Linked DNA regions of Macaca fascicularis. The protein of the gene in region 2 binds, or shares a complex with, the protein of the main gene of each other region. Links are inferred from orthologs where the notes say so. Each region holds a gene or a part of one and is shown on either strand. Other genes may lie near its edges. The genes, in order: AFTPH and SYNRG.

Region 1 (10,319 bases), on a different chromosome or scaffold from region 2:
CAAGACAGTTTTCTGGCTGGGTGTGGTGGCTCACACCGTAATCCCAGCACTTTGGGAAGCTGAGGTGGGTGGATCACCTGAGGTCACAAGTTCGATACCAGCTTGGCCAACATGGTGAAACTCCGTCTCTACTAAAAACACAAAAATTAGCTGGGCTTGTTGGCACATGCCTGTAGTCCCAGCTACTTGGGAGGCTGAGGCAAGAGAATTGCTTGAACCCGGGAGGCAGAGGTTATAGTAAGCCAAGATCACACTACTGCACTCCAGCCTGGGAGACAGAGCAAGACTCCATCTCAAAAAAAAAAAAAAAAGTAAGACAGTTTTCTATTTTCCTAATCCATAGATTGTTCAGTTAAAGGTCACGTCATTTTTGAGTTAAATAACCATTTTGCTTAAACTCTAAAAACAAGTTTAAGGCAATGGACATACCTAACCTTTACTACTGCTTTATAAAATTTCACAGGATTCCAGAAAAAATACTAGTTCTGCAGGTGTTACTACTCCCCTGTACACTAGCAGACTTATAGAGTTGGTATAAATACAATGTTTCCTTTTTTCTTTTCTTTTTCTTTTTGAAAATCCAGCACTTACCAGATTTGTGTCAGTAATTATGATTACACAATATTCAAACTGTAAGGGACTTTAGAGATATTCATTTTAAACCCTTCAATTTATAGATAAAGAGACTAAGGCCTGGAAAGGTTTAAGAACTTACCCATAATCACCCATTTCTCAAATTGAGCTTTTCTGTTTTCAAAAATTAAAGACGATTTGTTCATTGTATTCCAAGGGATGTTAATCAAAATCATATCCATCATTAAATCAAGCTTTAAAAATATTTTTAAAACAGTCATAAATGAAGGAAAAAGGCAGTATGTGTGGATATATGTGTATATACATGCATAAACATTTATACACATATAGATATTTTTACCTGGAACTGATCAGATGTACATGTGTTCATATCTGGTGACACGGTGGCTGTCTGACCGATGGAAGCTATTTTTTCTGCAGCAGAAAGTGGTTTCAATGGTTCCTTGGTGGGCTCTAACATACCCTGAAAAAGGAATATTAGCCTTTAATGGTGGTAGGGGCCACAGCCCACAAGCTTAAGTTAATCTATCAGAAAGGAGAAAAAGACAGGTCACTTGGAAAGTACTGAAGACAAAAAGGAAGTAGTCTTTTTGTTTTTTTTTCTAAGAGACATATTTAAGAGACAAGGTCTCACTATGTTGCCCAGGCTGGCCTCAAACTCCTTGGCTCAAGGGATCCTCTTGCCTCAAGCTCATGTCACCACACCTGGCTATTCTTAAATTTTATTTACTGAAAATCCTATAGCACTATAATGAGAACCATTCACAATACCTTTAGAATCAAAAGTTTTTAAAGCAAGACTTTGTATTGTAAATCAGATGTTTTAAAGTACAGGGTTATTACTGTCACATGAAAGCATAAGCACCAACTCGGGATGGGTTGGGGGAGACAACAATATGTCACATCTAACCTCTAAAAATCCAACACTTTAATGACACTAAAATGGAAAGGGCACCCTTTGTACACATTACCCCATGGTGGTGTGAGAAGTGAGAGCTGATTCTAAAACACACCATATAATATGACATCTATATCCTTCAGTGTAAATGTAATGTTTGATCCTGATCCCTATGACGGCACTGGAAACTTAGTTCCTTGGACAGGCAAAGCAGATATACAGCCTTTTTAGAGAGGAAAACATCTTACAGGTTCCACAGGGTTTGTTACAAATCTAATATACTTTTTTTTTTTTTTTTTTTAATTGAGATGGAGTTTCGCTCTTGCTGCCCAGGATGGAGTGCAGTGGCGTGATCTTGGCTCACTGCAACCTCTACCTCCTGGGTTCAAGCGATTCTCCTGCCTTAGCCTCCTGGGAAGCTAAGAAACAGGTGTCCACCACCATGTGTGGCTCATTTTTTGTATTTTTTTAGTAGAGATGGGACGTTGGCCAGGCTGGTCTTGAACTCCTGACCTCAGGTGATCCACCCGTCTTGGCCTCCCAAAGTGCTAGGATTACAGGCGTGAGCCACCGCGCCCGGCCTAATATGCTTTTTGAGTAAGAAAGATAGATGTTCAGTATGGCTACAGAAATAGGAAAAAAATCAGTATTTTTCATCAACACTCTACCAAACTCAAAATGGGCCATAATCTAGGTCTGAAAAAAGTCAAACTGTTACATGTTTTAAAATAATATCTGATAAGCTTTTGAATATTTTTCAATCAAAGGTTATATCCTAGACAAAATCACCCTTAACTGGACCAAAAAGAAACAAACAAAACAAAACTCAAAGCTGCTAAGTCATTAATGTTAGAATCTGTAAATTTCTAAAATTTTCAGGAGAATCCCTGCCTCCTCCCTTCCCCAATAAAATAGGCGTAAACTAAAACAGTTTGCAGAATCAATTCTTAACAGTAGCACATCTGAAAGGCTTTAACCCAGCAGCTAGAAAAATGAAAGAAGTTCATGGCCTGACTCAATACCATAAGTATTATACAGGCTCTCTAGTGTGCCCGTATGCAGAGTCGATACATTTGGTAAACAATTACTAGTCTCAGCCAAGGCTTGTAATTTGAATGATCACTTTAAGCAGTGGTTCTGAAATTGTGATCCCCGATCAGCAGCTTCTGTGTCACCTTGGAACTTGTCAGATGTACAAATTCTCGAGCCTACCTCAGAAATATTGAACAAGAAACGGGGGTGGCGGGGGGGTGCTCAGCAATTTGTGTTTTAACAAGTCTTCCAAGTGATTCTGATACACATGAAAGTTTGAGAACCAGTGGCTTAAATGATCATTTCAGGTACTATTTCTCCAGGTGAGATCAAAAGATTATTGAACATCTCATACATGTAAGGCACCATGGGTAAAGTTAGCTATAAATTAAAACTTGATATTAAAAGAAAGGTTTCTAAATGAAAGATATCACAAAGATGGAGGAGGGGAGATACATTTATATTCATTAAACTTTAGTATTAAAGCTTATATAGAAATAGTAGCTATAGGTATGAGCTGATAGATGTGAAAATAAACTGGAAAAAAGGTGGCGGGGAGGAAAGAAGTGGAAAAAAAAGCCCATAGAAATAGTAAAAATATTTTTTTTTTTTTTAATTTTTTTTTATTTTTTTAATTAAGTAAAAATATTTCTAATAAAGGTTGAAAAATAAAGCATAAGCTTTAGCTTCTAACTCCTCACAAACCTCACAGAACTGGTTAATGGGGTGAGGCTACACATTAGCATTAAGTAGGTCACTGCCCTTAATATGCTGAATGAAAGTGCCTACAAATTAAATTCCTAGTTCCATAACATCAACAACCTCTGGAGTGCTACTCCTTGAGAAAAAAAGAAATCCAAATAACCAAAAAGTTAAAGAAATGTTCAGCATTATATTTACCTACAACAGAAAACAATGGGGAATCATCAAAGTGTTTTTAAAGTACATGATAAAAACCATTTACGAAGGAGTAAACACTGATTTAAAAAAAACAAAACTCTAGAAAATTCCACAAAAATCAAAATGTTCCAATTCAAAATCAATAATTAGTGCTTATTCATGGAGAAAGTTTATAGATTTAAAGGTCAAGTTCCACAGCAAATTGTCACATGCACATAATAGGGTTGTATAAATTCTATACCAAAGATTCCTTCATTATTTTTCCCTTATTTCCAATTTAACGGTTAGAGTAATGTTTTAAGTTTGATGGGGCATTTTTATTCATCAATAAAAATATATTTTTTTCATCAATAAAAAAGACACACCAAAAAACACAAACATCAAACTTTAAAATGTGACTGAGTCTTGAGAAGGAACAGAATGAAAATGTCTGTTTTCCGGTACTACCTGGCATATCTGAAAAAACAAAATTCAACACATTTAAAACATTAATGGAAAAACTAAGAACCCATTATAAGTCCTGGCTCATTTTAATTTCACTATAATTTGGTGTTTCTAAGCTTTTATGTACATCTATAGCCTCAATATTGCATTATTTAAAATTAATAACTGAATTAAAACAAATTACATCTCTAGGCCTTCAGATACTTCAGCTGCTTTTTCTTTTTTCTTTTTTTTTTTTTTTTTGTTGAGACGGAGTCTCGCTTTGTCACCCAGGCTGGAGTGCAGTGGCCGGATCTCAGCTCACTGCAAGCTCCGCCTCCCGGGTTTACGCCATTCTCCTGCCTCAGCCTCCCGAGTAGCTGGGACTACAGGCGCCCGCCACCTCGCCCGGCTAGTTATTTTTTGTATTTTTTAGTTGAGATGGGGTTTCACCGTGTTAGCCAGGATGGTCTTGATCTCCTGACCTTGTGATCTGCCGTCTTGGCCTTCCAAAGTGCTGGGATTACAGGCTTGAGCCACCGCGCCGGGCCCCAGCTGCTTTTTCTTTAAAGCAAGTTTAGAAAAGAAAAAGAATCCTCCAAAGGTGCATTTTACAAACAGTTATATATGCTAATATTAGTAAGATAAAAATTTTCAATCTAAAACAAAACAGTATCTGTAATTAATGAAATATTTTAAAAGTCCTGCGATCAGTATTTGATGGGATTTATGAGTTCAAAAAAGATCTATTTATACCCTTCAGAATCCAACACTAAACGTCTCTTATATAGCATGACAGAGAAGTATATTTTAAGATGATTTTACAGAATAAATGCAGTAATGATAAATACATGCAGAGAGATTTTTGTACTTACCAATCCTGCTGCATACATGGGCACTATAACAGGCTGCTTCTTATTGCCCGTGAAGAGCTACACACACGTGTTAGACAGACAGAAAGAACATATATTTAGAGAATAATCTATCATACAATGAAACAGTTTCCAAATATGCTTGCGATGTTTTATTACATATATTGGGAATAATAAATTGATGAAACTTAAAAATTGCCCATATGGGGTCATTTTATCTCCCAGTCCAATTCCTTCATTTTATATTTAAGAAAAACTACTAAAACAATTTTTTCTAAAAATAAGTATTGAAGAAAAATTTAGGTAGATTGATGTTTAAAAGTCAGCACATTCAATATAAAGGAACATTTAAACCAAATATTTATTTTCTGAGGAACTAGCTTACCACAGCTTAAACAGAAGTATAACAGAATTTTAAAACACCCACAGGTTGATTAAAAGATTTTTCAAGGTACTAACAAACTCACAATGTTTCGGGTGTCTATTCCCAAGGAGCACAAAAGCTTCTTGTTGCTATGGGAGCCGCCCCACTGGTATCTCAAGCCATGTGCATCATGGATATCCTGTAGCTCAGTCCACACATCTAGCAATTCCCTGCAAAGGCCATGATGAAGCCATCAACAATAGGTTACTCAATAACTTTCACCATGAGTTCTACTTACAATATGGCTGTGACATGTTACACATTCCAATTATTCTTGGGTCCAACGTAAGTATATAACTATTTGAATGAAATCAAGAGCCAACACTTACAGTCACTAGAAAAATAACTAAGTGAGGCCAGGCATGGTGGCTCATGCTTGTAATTCCAGCACTTCGGGAGGCCGAGGCGGGCGGATCACCTGAGGTCAGGAGTTCTAGACCAGCCTGGCCAACATGGTGAAACCCCATCTCTACTAAAAAATACAAAAAATTAGCCAGACATGGTGGTGGGCACCTGCAATCCCAGCTACTCAGGAGGCCAAGGCAGGAGAATCGCTTGACCCAGGAGGAAGAGGTTGCAGTGAGCCAAGATCACTCCAGCCTGGGCAACAGAGTGAGACTCTGTCTCAAAGAAAAAAAGATATTTCATTGTGAAATTTCAGAACATCAGCAACAAAGAGATCTTAAACTATAAATTTAATGTGAGAGTAGAATAAAATTTTACCTCCCATCTATTTTTTTTTCTCAGAAGGCTGTTGGAGGATGTGCTCCACCAAAATGGGATCTAAGTGAAGGGAAGTCCCAAGACAACATATGTGTAAGCCCAGACTGAAACCATTCTAGATGGGAGCAGAATAAGGGGTTGGATCACAAGTGTATGAACAAGCTCTCAAAGGGTAGGGAAACACTAATGAAAAAGAGAAGCCCAGGAAGAAGTTGTACTATAAAGAAAACAGTGGCTTAAGAGTAAACAATATATACATGATTATAATAATGAAAATGCCAAATAAGAAATTAACCAAAAACTGATATATGGGGAAGATGAGGGGAGAATAGCAGAGGTAAGATCTAAATTTTCAGTTACCATTCTAAGAAGTCAAAAAATAATATATAACATCAATTGATTAGAATATTGATATAGAAATATAAAAACAAACAGCTCAAAAGAGGCAGGGAGTTTAGGTTTTGACACAATGTTTTTGAGCCTTAATTTTTTTTATTTTTTATTTTTTGGAGATAGAGTCTTGCTCTGTCACTCAGGCTGGAGTGCAATGATCTTGGCTCACTGCAACCTCCATCTTCTGGGTTCAAGTGATTCTTGTGCTTCAGCCTCAATCCCAAATAGCTGGGATTACAGGCATGCGCCACCACACCCTACTAATTTTTTTGTATTTTTTAGTAGGGACAGGGTTTCACCATGTTGGTTAGGCTGGTCTCAAACTCCTGACCTCAGGTGATCCACTGCGCCCGGCCTGAACCTTAATGTTTTAAGATAAACTTATAAATTAGAACTGCTGAAAGTAACAAAAACACATGCTATCTAAAAACTCTCTTCTACTTACCCACTTTCAGGTAAGGCCTCTCTTGTTTTTATTGGCAAAGTGCTTGTTTCCAGCAAGTGCTTCAGGGAAGTAACTTCCTCTTCAGCATCAGGGACAAGTATGGAAGGAAAACATGCTTCGAAAATTCGCTCCAGGCGGTTTAATAAAGCTGTCTGCATCAAAACACCCCCCAAAAGTTTATTTTCATTTAATATTGATATCATAGTAATAGCATTAAAATGCAAACACATGCACACCCTGTCCACTACTGTAAGAACCATCACTCAGATACAGAAAACACTAAGTGAAAAGAACACAACTACTCACGAAACAATCACTCTAAATGATTAATTTAAATAATGATGATGAGCTACGTAGCTGGCAAGTAAAAGCAACGTGCCAAGCAATATACCTGCTACTTTACATGTAGTATCTTAATCTATTACAAAATTCTACAAAAAATAAATTACCCAATTCTACAGTGAGAAAGCAATCTCAATGTGTGAATAATCTGCCCAAAGCAAAACCCAAAAAACCCAGAGAGCATTTATATTCTTTCCACCACACTGGAATGTCTCTTACCACCACTCATCTACTCTAGATTTAGGAACAAAAAGATCGGATGCTTGTGAGAAGTATTATGCTATTATAGCTAAACAATCTTTTTTTTTGGACATAAACACGAATTTTGATAGCCTTTTGGAAATATTTTTGCTGCTAATAGTACAAAGCAAAGTAGGAAAGAATGTCTCAATTTTTACTGATAAAAAATTCAAAAAGCTCATTCATCATTTTGGTGATATGTATTATCTTTTAGATATTCCATTTCTACTCGTCTTTGTTGCATGTCTATTTTTGAATAGAATACTACCTTTCTCCTAAGTAAAGCCTTCATATTCCCCAGAGTAGTTTCACCAAGAACAAACAGATAAATCTCTTGGCATTTTCTTTTACGTATTTTTATTAACTAAAACTTGTTGGATTTAGATCAACTTAGTTTTGGTACCACTAGGTTTACTATACATGTGTAACCTACAATAACATTTATTCCTATTTTCCTATTTCAGATACATGTAATATATTTTCCAACTTAGCCCAGTTTACCATGTAAACATCAACTACAAATACAAATTGTTAGTAAGTTAAAGCCTGCTGTAAGATTAAGTTTACTATTGAATTGACAGACTGTATGAGCAAAATGCCACATCATGGTGGTACTTCCTGCCAAGTAACAAAAACAAGCTGATACTTGATTTCTGTTTTGTAGTGTAGTGAGCACCCAAGAAAATTTAAAAAAAAAAAAAAAAAGGAAAAGGAAAAAATTTCACCTTTTCTTAATCCAAATCTCTTTTGGAAGCTGTATCAGAGTAAAAATTTAACACTGCATAATTAGTCTCAGGGTACTCTTTTGTAATTCTATAAAAGTTACATCATAATTATATTCATGTGTGTGATATTAGAAAAGGTTCTCACTATCAATTATGAACCCTAAGTAAAGGGTAGCCTCAAGATCCCAAGGCTTGTGAAACTTGAGTGCATCAAGGGGCCCTTGCTCTCACTTGCCTCAACAGAGGGAACGGACAGACATTATTTTCAAAGAGATCAGATAACCACCTAATTGGATACATGATTGGCTCCTCCTGGGCAGGGAAGATAAACAAAAAACTCACATATGACCAAATTTTATTTCTCTGTAAATTAAATCTTTCTTGTATCCTCTTTGTTATCTTTTTAATGGGATAGGAAAAAAATGTTTACCACAGGAAGAAAAGAAATGACCCTAAAACACATCGAACCACTTGGGCAATGTTACACATAACTGCCAGGTGTCAAGACACCAGCAAAATTCTCAAATGAGTGGAATGAAGCTGAGGCAAAGAAACATTACCTAATTGCCTCAATTTTTACTTCTTCTTCAGCCTTTTCCCATAAAGGATATAAGTTGAATGGAAATTTCTAAAGAAAGTTTCACATATGTTTAGGATCAGATATTACATTAGATTGCTTCAAATCTTATGTTGAATAAGATAAAGCAGGAGATTAGCAATCTTTTCTTTAGAGAGCCAGATAGTAAATACATTTGGCCTTGTAGGCCATTCGTAAAGGAATAAGCATGGGTATGTTCCAGTGAAACTTATTTACAAAAACAGGCGGCAGGACAGATTCATTCTGTGGGTCATGGTTTGACCCCTTGAGATAGAGCTGTAAATAATAAATAACCAGCATCCATTAACAGCATTGCCCAACATTTTTTTTTTTTTGAGATGGTCTCACTCTGTCACCCAGGCTGGAGTGCAGTGGCGCAATCTCGGCTCACTGCAAGCTCCGCCTCCCGGGTTCACACCATTCTCCTGCCTCAGCCTCCCAAGTAGCTGGGACTACAGGTGCCCACCACCACGCCCCGCTAATTTTTTATTTTTAGTAGACGGGGTTTCACCGTGTTAGCCAGGATGGTCTCAATCTCTTGACCTGGTGATCTGCCCGCCTCGGCCTCTCAAAGTGCTGGGATTATAGGCGTGAGCCACTGCGCCCAGCCCAAAGATTTTTATTAAAATTAAATTTGCTCTGACATTTTACTTTTAAAAGTGTATCAATTTCCGGCCAGGTGCAGTGTCTCACGCCTGTAATCCCAGCACTTTGGGAAGCCGAGGCAGGTGGATTGCTTGAGGTCAGGAGTTTGAAACCAGCCTGGCCAACGTGGTGAAACCCCATCTCTACTAAAAATACAAAAATTAGCAGGGCATGGTGATACACACCTGTAGTCCCAGCTACTCAGGAGGTTGCGGCATGAGAATCGCTTGAACCAGGCAGGTGGAGGTGGCAGTGAGCTGAGATCGTGCCACTGTAGTCCAGCCTGGGTGATAGAGCAAGACTTGGTCTCCAAAAAAAGTATATTAATTTCCATAAGACCAGTTTGGTGGTAAGGGCATCCTGTAACGACTTTCTCACCACTATCTTGTTCTTGGTAATAAATAAGGCCAAATTTAACTTACTATTAGTTAATTCCAGTAAGTAAATGACTGGTATAACACTTCAATAGAGGGCTATAGATCCAGGGGCTAAGACTCCAGTTTCTACATTTATTTTTATTTTTATTTTTTTGAGACAGAGTCTTACTCTGTCACCGAGGCTGGAGTGTAGTGGTGCGATCTCAGCTCACTGCAACCTTAGCCTCCCAGGTTCAAGTGACTCTGCTGCCTTAGTCTCCCAAGTAACTGGGATTACAGGTGCCCACCACTGTTTCTGCCCAGTTTCTGCATTTATAATCTGGAGATATCAGGGTCTATCTACCTCATGAGGTGGACGATAATTTAGAGGATTAAATACTTGGCACCCAGGGTGTCAGAGGTGGCAGTTTTTATCATTACTACTGTTATTATACAGATGATACATATAGACACAGGTGGCTTGCCAGGGAATTAAATAAATGAGTCTCAAAACTAGAATCAAAGCTCACTAAGAATATTTCTCTACCATGATTTAGCATTCTAAATCACTATGAAAATACTTATCTCAATTTATCAATTTCTACACATTATAACAAGAAATTAATCCAAGTATTGTACATCCTTCCCAAGGTCATCCCTGTTGAGTTGGGAGGAAAAAAAAAGTACCTGGTTTTTAAGTATCTATTTT
Region 2 (10,319 bases):
ACCAGCTTCAGTCTCTACTGGATTAGCCCTACTCTTTCCTTTCCCCTCTATTATTTAGTGACTCTGTAAGTTAAATACACCCTTATTATTTAGCTGTTAAGTAACTATAATGAAATCTGCTGCAAAAACTCTTGGAATCCATGTGCCCAGGATTATATTAGCATTATTTTTAATAAATCTATATGCTTAACATTAGAATTTTTACTAATAATTTCAGGATATGTGTGTGTGTCGATGATGGAAAAAAAGGTGCTCTCCAGTAACTGCTAAAATACGGCTCTTATGACAGTTGTGAACACCACTTAAAATACACATCCCAGCAGAGTCCTGTCGGCGCTTCACATCCTGGTGGGTGGCAGACACACTGTCCCCAGTGCTGGGCGGTGGGAGATAAGAGTGCACGCTCTGATCGGGGTGCTAGTTTTGGTTTCCTCTTGGTTAGTGGAGCACCCCAAAGCAACATGTCCTCCATCAGAGAAACTGGTTTTCAATAAAAGGTGCCTCTGCTCAACTATTACTACCTACAAAAATGCCCTAAACCAAACCTCAGTATAAGCGATAAGCAAATAACAAAAAATGGCTGCCTTTAACTTTGGAAATGTCACCCAGGTCACTGCTCCTGATAAAATGGGCGGCACCGCTCATCAGGTACACGGTAGAAGGTGAATGAGCTCGCCTCTGTCCCACTCCTGGGACACAACTGGGCGAAAGCTTTCCACATGCCCCCAAATAACCACTGTCCTAGGGCGTGCCTGCCTTCTGGATGGAGGGCCTCCTGGGAGTCTGCCCGTGCGATGGGAACCGGTCGCAGCCCTGCTCTTTGGCCTCATTTGTCAGGGACGTTGTAGCTTGCGCACCAGAGGAATCGTTTTCTAGATTTTTTGGGTCCATTTTGGCAGGAAGCCATACATAGGCCAGTAGCTACATACTTAGACAAATATCCACGAAACATTTTACCTGGTTTGTGGCAATGGTTTTTTCCATCTAAGTTCTACCTTTTATTGCTTTATACCTCTGGCTGCCCACTGTTATAAACATGCATCATTATTCTCTAGAAAAATTAAAAGGAAAAAAATTAATAGTTTCTATGAGAAATCAGAGGAACCAACAAATGCTGTAAGATCAAAAACAAACAAACAAAAAAACAAATAATCCAGGGAGGCTCTGGCTGCTTTAGTATGAGGCTGAGCTTTGAGTCTGGGAGTTTCTGAATAAGAGCCCCCAAATAACCATTGTCCTAGGGCGAGAAGACACCTGGTGACCGATGTTCTTCGTAATTAATGAAAATCACCTGTAGAATTCCTGGCAAGCAGCACTGCGGGGCTGTGACTAAGAGTTCTTCGCACACAGGAAGCTGAACACCTTTGTAATCTTAAGTGCGTGGGCCCCTGTTCATCCTCGTGACTTGCATCTACGTGAAATCAACCCAACAAAGACAAGACCAAGAAAAGGTCTAGTAGCCTGACATTCTTCTACACTTGTATTTTGGTGAGGGAAGTTTAACAGTGGGTGATTTCAGAACAGACCCTGAAAATATTTTAAAGGTAAAGCTTTATAATATCTAAACATATCAATTAGAGCAGTTGTTTATTAAAATATGAACAAGGGAAAAACCACACCATCTTTTAAAATTACAGGCCTGAATTCCACATCACACAGAAGACAACGCATTTTGCTACAGACCACAGCATTCACTGGTTAATAACGCCACAGCTACAAAGTAATGAGATGTCCCACAAGAATACTTTTTTAACCACTTATATTCACATCAACATATAAATAATGGAATTAAGTAAAAACTTCATTATAATGCTATTTTGTTAGAAAAGTATTCGTAAAGTGGCATTTCTCCCCCCAAGAGCTGTTTCACTTAAGCTTTATTTCCTCGGCCTTGCAAGGGGCGGGCCTTTCAGTATTGTTATTTGGTGCACACTCACCTGAAGAAATAAGTAATTTAAACTTAAAAAACACAGTCGACACACATCTTGCCCTGCATTCTGACATTTGCTGGAATGGTCTACAGCAGGCTACAGTGCTCCCTTCTGAATGGCAGATGTCTGAAAATGTCAGTTTATGAACTGTTCACAAAGGCAGGCATTTGACCTCAAAGGTGTTCAGGGGAATTTTTGTAGTGGTCCCCAGTACAGGGCCAGCATCTCCTATTTCTGTAACATACAGCCCTATAATCTTTGCAAAGCTGAAGTACACATTAAACAGGCAAACAGAAGACACCTTTAAACAAATAAGACCCCCAAAACCCTTCAAATATGTGTATGGACACAAAACATTCAAATAATCAAAAATTCACAACCCCTATGAAATGCTAACTAGTAGCCACAGGAAAAATAAAGCATGGAAAATATCCTAATACATCCAGTACCTCTTCTATCTCAAGCATGTCCAGACAAAAATGAAATTACACACTAAGCCATAAAAATTTTAAAGGCAAAACATCCCACCAAAAAAAGAAAAGTGCTATTAATCACCATTCAAGCAGTGGGGTGAAGCGGGCTGACACAATACACAGTATGGAAATAAGTAACCTTGGTTACGGTTTCCAAGGACACGGGGCTCCTGGCTAACAGGAAGAGCTGAGGTGAAGCTGAATGCAGTGTTGAGTCATTATAATAAATGTTTATAAAGAAAAGCAGCGCAATGGTGTCCCACACTCCTTGGATCCCTATTGGTGGCATCTAATTAAACATTTCAAGTATTCAAGAGATATGAAAGGTAGTGAATACTTTTCATAGCAAAGGCTTTTCTGTTGACGTCTGCTGAATTTTCCTGTGGCACCTCCCACGGAGTGACTAAGCCTATCGCTCTTGGTAAGGAAAGTGGGAATTATACTAAGGAATTGTATCTGAGGCATTCTGGAATTTCTCAGGAATAGAAACCAGCCCAGCTAACAAGCTTACTTTTTAAAATGTCGATACTGGGCCACTGTGACATGATAGGCATCTACACAGCATTTCAAAAAAAATGTCTTAGCAACATTTCAAATTGGGAAACTTACTATTTTTTTTTTTTAAGAGACACAGTCTCTCTCTTATCACCTAGGCTGTTGTAAAAAAGAAAGAAATTTTTAACAGTCACTGTCAAGACTCCTGGACTCATGTGATCCTCCTGCCTCAGCCTCCCTAGTAGCTGGGACCACAAATGTCCACAGATGCACTCCACCATGCCTGGCTAATTATTTTTTGTATAATTAGCTGGGGTCTTGCCATCTTGCCCAGGGCTGGTCTCTAACTCCTGGGAAACATTCTTATTGCAAAGGTAGATTCTGCTGTCATGGTTCTGTTATGAAATTTAGGCCAGGCGCGGTGGCTCATGCATGTAATCCCAGTACTTTGGGAGGCTGAGGCAGGCGGATCACCTGAGGTTGGGAGTTCGAGCGTGACCAACATGGAGAAACCCTGTCTCTACTAAAAATACAAAATTAGCCGGGCGTGGTGGCGTATGTCTGTAATCCCAGCTACTCGTGGGGCTGAGGCAGGAGAATTGCTTGAACTCGGGAGGCAGAGGTTGCAGTGAGCTGAGATTGTGCTATTGCACTCCAGCCTGGGTGACAAGAGTGAAACTCCATCTCAAAAAACAAAAAAAAGAAAGAAATTTTTAAGACCAATTAGAAGCCTGCTTGCATTCCAGCTCCATGTGGACCTGGTGCCGCCCAGGATGAAAGCACCGAGGCCTCAGGAAAAGCCTGCCACAAGCTGTCCCTCCTGTGTTGTTAGAAACACCCCATTAGCCTTGTGGTGAGCAAAAGCTCCAAAGGTACCAATTCAGAGCGAGCTGTCTCAGTCAGGAACGGCCAGAGACGGTATCATCGGGAGCGAGTGAGAAAAGCCTTTCTCTCCTCGGTGCCTCTCTCTGCATTGGGGCGAGCAGAAGGTCAAGCAGGAGCCTCAGCAACAGCTGTTTAATGAAAATGTTCCACACCTTTCTTGGAGAACATGGAAAAGCTATAAGACGGACCAAGATAGAATTTGTTCTGAGAAGGGAAAATAAATTATGTAAAAGCAGCAATTATAGACAAGACCAACTTTGTCGGTTTAAAAATAAAAGTCTAGGTCAGAGGGCCTAAACCGCACAAAGTAAAGCACATGAGATTGAAAAATCTCTTCATAAAGCGCATAATCAACAATTCAGAGAGACGTGTGCCCTAGATTGGTACGTTCTTCCTAGGAATAACAGCTCTTAGCCACTTGAGTTTTCCCCCTAATTTTATGCATTCAGATTAAATGGCAAAGAAAATTCCCTACTCCAGGAAGCACGAGTCTTTTCCATCTAAAACTCAGTACTATTTCTGGACAATTTTCTTCTAAGTCATGTATCTATCCCATAAATATACATCTTGATACTTTACACTAGGCCAAGAACTCCACATTTTCACCCTGAATTAATTTTCAGGTTTTTCTCACAGATACTGCAAAGTCAGGCAGTGTTGGTCCCTATGTAGTCATCTTTGGAGATTTGGAGAGCGGCCACTGCCAAGAGATTTCATTCCACTGCCTTTACAAATCTTGTCTGAGAAAACTCCATGGTCACAGTCTTTGCATGCGGCAAAACAGGTTTGCAGTGAAGGCTCCTGCAGGGAAGGATATTATCCTGATACACAGGATTTGGGCCTGTGTGAAAATGAGCATTCTTCAGGACTGCAGAGTGCCATTCTTCAGGACTGCAGAGTGCCATTCTTCAGGACTGCAGGCATGTTTTGGAAAAAAGTCTTGAGCGTTGACAGCAATGAAGGGAAGGAGTAGAGAACTGGTTCAGTTGTGACAGCCAAGTGGGTAAAATCTGCCCTCACCTCCCTGCTACTGTCCAGGGCAGACGGGCAGAATCTTCTCCATAAAAAGCAGAACATCAGTTTAATCGTAATTTCCTCTTTTTATTCATTTCAGACATTAACAAACTAAATGCAAATAAATGCACTCTACTTCACAGGACAGTAAGTGTTCTGGGTAAAAACAAGCACTGGCTCCAAGCAGCTGCCCATTCTAGTCCCGCAACAGTAGTTTATTTTTCTTCAAAAATGTCAGTTCTTCACAGTTTCAATACTGCAGCAGCAAGTTCTTCCTTAGATCCAGAAAGCTGTGGTCTGTATTTTAGAAAACCTTAAGAAAAGTAGAGAGAAGTGAGCAAGCTTCTGGCGCCACGTGCCGCTTGAGTGGGACGATTTTACCTGAAGCCCCGCAGACTGGCCGTGGGGGTGACGGGGGCCCCGTCGCTTGCGGTGTTCTTCACATCAATTCAGGGAAGTGAACTGTGCAGCGCTCGCATTCTACTGATTGGTCCCTGTCACCCCGTGGGGTGTCACAGAAAAAAAAAGTCAGTGCTTCACAGAGGAGTTGTTCAGAGCAGGTCAGGCAGGACAAGGCCAGGAGGCTTTGGTTCGACACAGTTGATCCAGAAGTTGGCACAGCTGGCGTGATACTGGTGCCCTCCGTAGGCCAGCTTGAAACTGTCTGTTTCTGAGTTGAATGCCTGCCAGAAATAAACAGAGATGTGGGACAAGTCAGGCTTTTTCTGCATCTCAGAGCTTTTCAGAAACCAACATGTACATCTCTCCAGGTCACAGAGGCTGAGGCCAAAATGGCACACACAAAAGCTGAGTGGGTAGCTACAGGAATTTAAGAGAGAAGGTTTTTTACTGCTAATTAAAGCTATAAAATTGTTACCACTAAACCTAGTTTCGGGAAAAGGCGGCCAAATCTTCCATGGAAAAGGCAGACAGAGGTTATGGGGCGGAGCGGGGGAATCATAAGGGGAACTAAAGTAGCCGAGGGCTGTGGATAGCTTGGATCCCTCACTGTGCTGAAGGAAGCCCTCCTCCTAAGGCTGGCATCGGACTGCGGCATGCAATCCTTTACACTTCTGCAGCTGACCACAAGCCTATCATGACAAAAAATTACAAGAGTTCGAGAACGAGAGTCAGAGAACGGCAGTTAACAACTCTTAGGGTCGAATGGCATTGGGAGCGAATAACTGAATCTACATTATCAAAAAGTCCAAACAGGTATAGAGTTTAAAAAAAAAAAGCCTTGAAATGAATGGGCATTAAACACATAAGAATTATTTCCAGATGAGTAGGCTTATCGGTAAGCTACAGCCAGCCATGGAACAGTAGTCCAAACCTCAGCCGCGTCCTGGGGTTAGTGTTCTAATGCACTGCATATAAACAAAACTCTGAAACACAACTTGTGGCTTGTCTGTTAAAATATGGCTAAATGGCTACATCCTGATAAGCTCTTTGATCTCCTTCTGTGTGTCACTACACCTTCCAGGCTTCCAGAAGTTGCTCGTTCTGTCACCCCATTCATCACAGAGAAAAATAACTGCAACACCAGAAGCCAATTATGAGAAACAAGCATGCAAATAAGACAGAAGTGGAGCCACACAGACACATTAGTAGACTCAATCAAACATTATGGGAACCAGACTGACTCAGTGAAGGATTCATGACTGGAACAGTTCAGGATGCAATGGATGGAATCATCCAATTTGCCCTCCACACTCAAAATTAAAATGGAGACGCTAAGATAAGGTGTAACTGGTTCATACTTTTTTAGGATGTTCTTCTGCAGGCTTCTCTTCTTTCTGAAATAACGTTGAAACCACAGGTCAACAACATTCCCAGAACAGGGCCTCTTGCCTCCGAACACATCCTTACAGGTTCACCCTTTCCTCCTGACCACCCCACTACGTACAGGGTGCTGCAGGCATGAGAGCCGCGTCCACTCCCGCCACAGCTCCCCCGCTGCCCTCACGAGGGGATGTGTCTGCTCCTATCATCAGCTTTTAGGACTTGAGAAAATCCCCACCTCTGGTCACAAACTTCGCAGTAAAGTGGGCCAGATGAGGTCGTCCCGAGTCACGTTAGGGAAGCCCTCTGCCACCTGCAACGAGGCTGCGTGGCTTACCCGGCTCCTCGAGTCCACGTTCAAGAGGCACACTCCACAGGCAAGTTCCTGAGCATTTTTAATCCCAGGCCGTAGCATACAGGAGGAAAAATCCAGCGAGTTTTCATCTGGCTGTGAGGATGAGGATGACAAGACAAACGGGTAAGAAGTCCAGCAAGTCCACACGCTGTTCGCTTCACTCCCTCATTGCTCACCCCCAGTAGGTCTAGCGGCAACGTAAGTACTCTAGCACCACCCCTACAATAATTTAACTTCCCAAACATCCACTGGGAACCCGTCATGCTTCCAGGTGCTAGGAAGGCCGGCACAAGTACAACACGCCCTCTGTCCTCTGAGAACTCGGTCTCGGGTGGGCGCCAGGGAGCCAGTGCAGTGCCATGATTGCCAGGTGTGCTTACTTAGGGGAAGTCCTGAGTGCCAGGGCACAAGGGAGGGGCACTTAGCCCAACCCGAGGAGGATGGGGACTGAAGCCAGAGACTGCTTCCTAGAACTTTTTTTTTTTTTTTTTTTTTTTTGAGGCAGAGTCTCACTCTGTCGCCCAGGCTGGAGTGCAGTGGTGCGATCTCGGCTCACTGCAAGCTCCACCTCCCGGGTTCAAGCGATTCTCCTGCCTCAGCCTTCTGAGTAGCTGGGGTTACAGGCACGCCACCACGCCCGGTTAATTTTTTTTGTTTTTTTGGTTTTTTTTGAGACAGAGTCTTGCTCTGTCGCCCGGGCTGGAGTGCAGTGGCCGGATCTCAGCTCACTGCAAGCTCCGCCTCCCGGGTTCACGCCATTCTCCTGCCTCAGCCTCCCGAGTAGCTGGGACTACAGGCGCCCACCACCGCGCCCGGCTAATTTTTTGTATTTTTTAGTAGAGACGGGGTTTCACCGTGTTAGCCAGGATGGTCTCGATCTCCTGACCTCGTGATCCGCCCGTCTCGGCCTCCCAAAGTGCTGGGATTACAGGCTTGAGCCACCGCGCCCGGCCCACCCGGTTAATTTTGTATTTTTAGTAGAGATAGGGCTTAACCATGTTGGTCAGGCTGGTCTTAAACTCCTGATTTCAGGTGATCCACCCGCCTCAGCCTCCCAAAGTGGTGGGACTACAGGCATGAGCCACCGTATCCGGCCTGCTTCCTAGAACTTAGAATCACCTTGGCTGAGTGTAGATGGGAGCTGCTAGGTGAAGGGGATGGGGTTGGGTGAGGTAGGGGAGGGAAGGATATTCTATGCAGAACAAGCAGCATAGGCAAAGGCCTCTGAGCTAAAGATGGGGTATGGGAAGGAATCTAGAGGGTGGGGGCAGAGCCCACGAAAGGAGGAGATGAAGCCACAGCATGAGGACTTCAAGGAAGATAAGGAGCATCCTGGAAGCCACTAGGGGTTCCAACTGGATCAGCACAGGCCCAGGTTCGTATTATTGACAGATCCCTCTTGCTAGTGTATAGACAATGAATTGGGGGTGGCAATCCTCAAGGCGTGGGTCTCAGCCAGAAGCCTGCTGTAGCAGTCCTGGAGACAGATACCGATGGTCAGAATGAAGGCAGCGGCGGTGGGGAATGGGGAGAAATGGACACGGAAAAGAGCTGCCAAGGCAGGAGAATGAGCAGGCCTGGGTGACCTGCTGGATGGGAGAGGTTGGGGGACCCGGGCAGCTGAAGGGATTCACCATAATAAGACATGTGAAAGAAGGACCAGGTTTGAGGATGGAAGCTGAGGAGAAGAGTTCAGTTTGGTCCAAGCTGAGTTGGAGCCACCTGTGGGACAGCAAAGGCCACATGCTACATAAGCAGGTGGTTGGATAGACATACAGGCCTACTGCTTGCAGAGAGAACTGAAAGTCACCAGCTACAGACCATAAATAGAACAACAGCTAATAAGCCCTTACTTTGCCAAGCACTATACTAAGCTCTTCACATGCATTATCTAATTCACTACACACACACACACACACACACACACACACACACACACACACACACACAGAGAATGGTTAAAAGAGGAGGTCTCAATCTTGGAAAGCTGTCCAGTCACTCTGCTGCTCAGGCTGGAGTGCAGTGGCATGATCACAGCTCACCGCAGCCTTGACTTCCTGGGCTCAAGAGATCCTCCCACCTCAGTCTCTCAAATAGCTGGGGCCACGTGTGCGTGCCACCACGCCCAGGTAATTTTTTGATTTTTTGTAAAGATGATATCTCCCTATGTTGCCCAGGCTGATCTTGAACTCCTGGGCTCAAGTGATCCTCCCAAAGTGGTGGGATTACAGGCATGAGCCCCTGTGCCTGGCCCCGCAGCACACTTTTATTTTTATTTATTTATTTTGAGACAGGGTCTCACTCTGTTGCCCAGGTTGGAGTGTGGTGGTGTCATCTTGGCTCACTGCAGCCTCTGCCTCCCGGGCTCAAGCAATCTTCCCGCCTCAGCCTCCCAAGTAGCTGGAACTACAAGTGTACACCACCATACCCAGCTAACACTTTTTTTTTTTTTTTTTTTTTGAGATGGAGTCTTGCTCTGTAGCCCAGGCTGGAGTGCAGTGGCATAATCTCGGCTCACTGTAACCTCCGCCTCCTGGATTCACAAGGGATTCTTCTGCCTCAGCCTCCTGAGTAGCTGGGACTACAGGTGCCTGCCACCACACCTGGCAAATTTTTGTATTTTTAGCAGAGACGGGGTTTCAGCATTTTGGCCAGGCTGGTCTTGAACTCCTGACCTTGTGCTCTGCCCACCTTGGCCTCCCAAAGTGCTGGGATTACAGGTGTGAGGCACTGTGCCTGGCCACACACTTTTAAGTTTAATCTGCACTAATAACATTTTCTCTATCACTTTTTAGCACTGAGGAAATCCCTCAGTCCTGACCAAACAGGGACAGTTGGTTGCCCTGTGATAGACATAAATAACCCTGAAAGCTAGACAAATAGTAAAATTTAAGAACTAGAATGTTTTAAGTATTTATTACCACTATTTTTAATATAATGTATTTAACTGCAAGTTTATATCATTTGTGTTTGTTTTGTCTTGCTTTTGAGATAGAGTCTCACTCTGTCACCCAGGCTGGAGTGCAGAGACGTGCGTGATCATGGCTCACTGTAGACTCAAACTCTTGGGATCAAGCAATCCTTTTGCCTCAGCCTCCTGAGTGCTGGGAATACAGGTGTGTGCCACTACACCTGGCTACTTTTTATTTTTAGTAGAGATGAGGTCTCACTACGTTGCCCAGGCTGGTCTAGAACTTCTGGCCTCAAGTGATCCTCCCACCTCAGCCTCCTAAAGTGTTGGGATTACAGGCATGAGCCACTGCACCCAGTCTTCATTTAATTTTGAGTAATAACCATGTTTAACAACTGGCTCATAAAATTCCTGAACATTTAACAAACTCTTTCAAGCCAGTAAGAACTGGATCTAACACACTAGTGTGACAG

What was found.
Region 1: SYNRG (region 2) and AFTPH share a complex: the UniProt entries of both Homo sapiens proteins name them as parts of the aftiphilin/p200/gamma-synergin complex. The link is inferred for Macaca fascicularis from reciprocal best matches to the Homo sapiens genes SYNRG and AFTPH.

What each region holds. Positions count from the first base shown.
Region 1 is NC_088387.1:57,352,312-57,362,630, forward strand, and holds part of AFTPH (aftiphilin), read right to left. Parts: intron 6,857-10,319; coding exon 6,705-6,856; intron 5,314-6,704; coding exon 5,187-5,313; intron 4,780-5,186; coding exon 4,723-4,779; intron 1,058-4,722; coding exon 935-1,057; intron 1-934. UniProt on the Homo sapiens protein: Component of clathrin-coated vesicles.
Region 2 is NC_088390.1:43,468,844-43,479,162, reverse strand, and holds the end of SYNRG (synergin gamma), read right to left. Parts: intron 7,029-10,319; coding exon 6,918-7,028; intron 6,595-6,917; coding exon 6,559-6,594; intron 5,482-6,558; coding exon 5,350-5,481; 3' UTR 1,571-5,349; downstream 1-1,570. UniProt on the Homo sapiens protein: Plays a role in endocytosis and/or membrane trafficking at the trans-Golgi network (TGN). May act by linking the adapter protein complex AP-1 to other proteins. Component of clathrin-coated vesicles.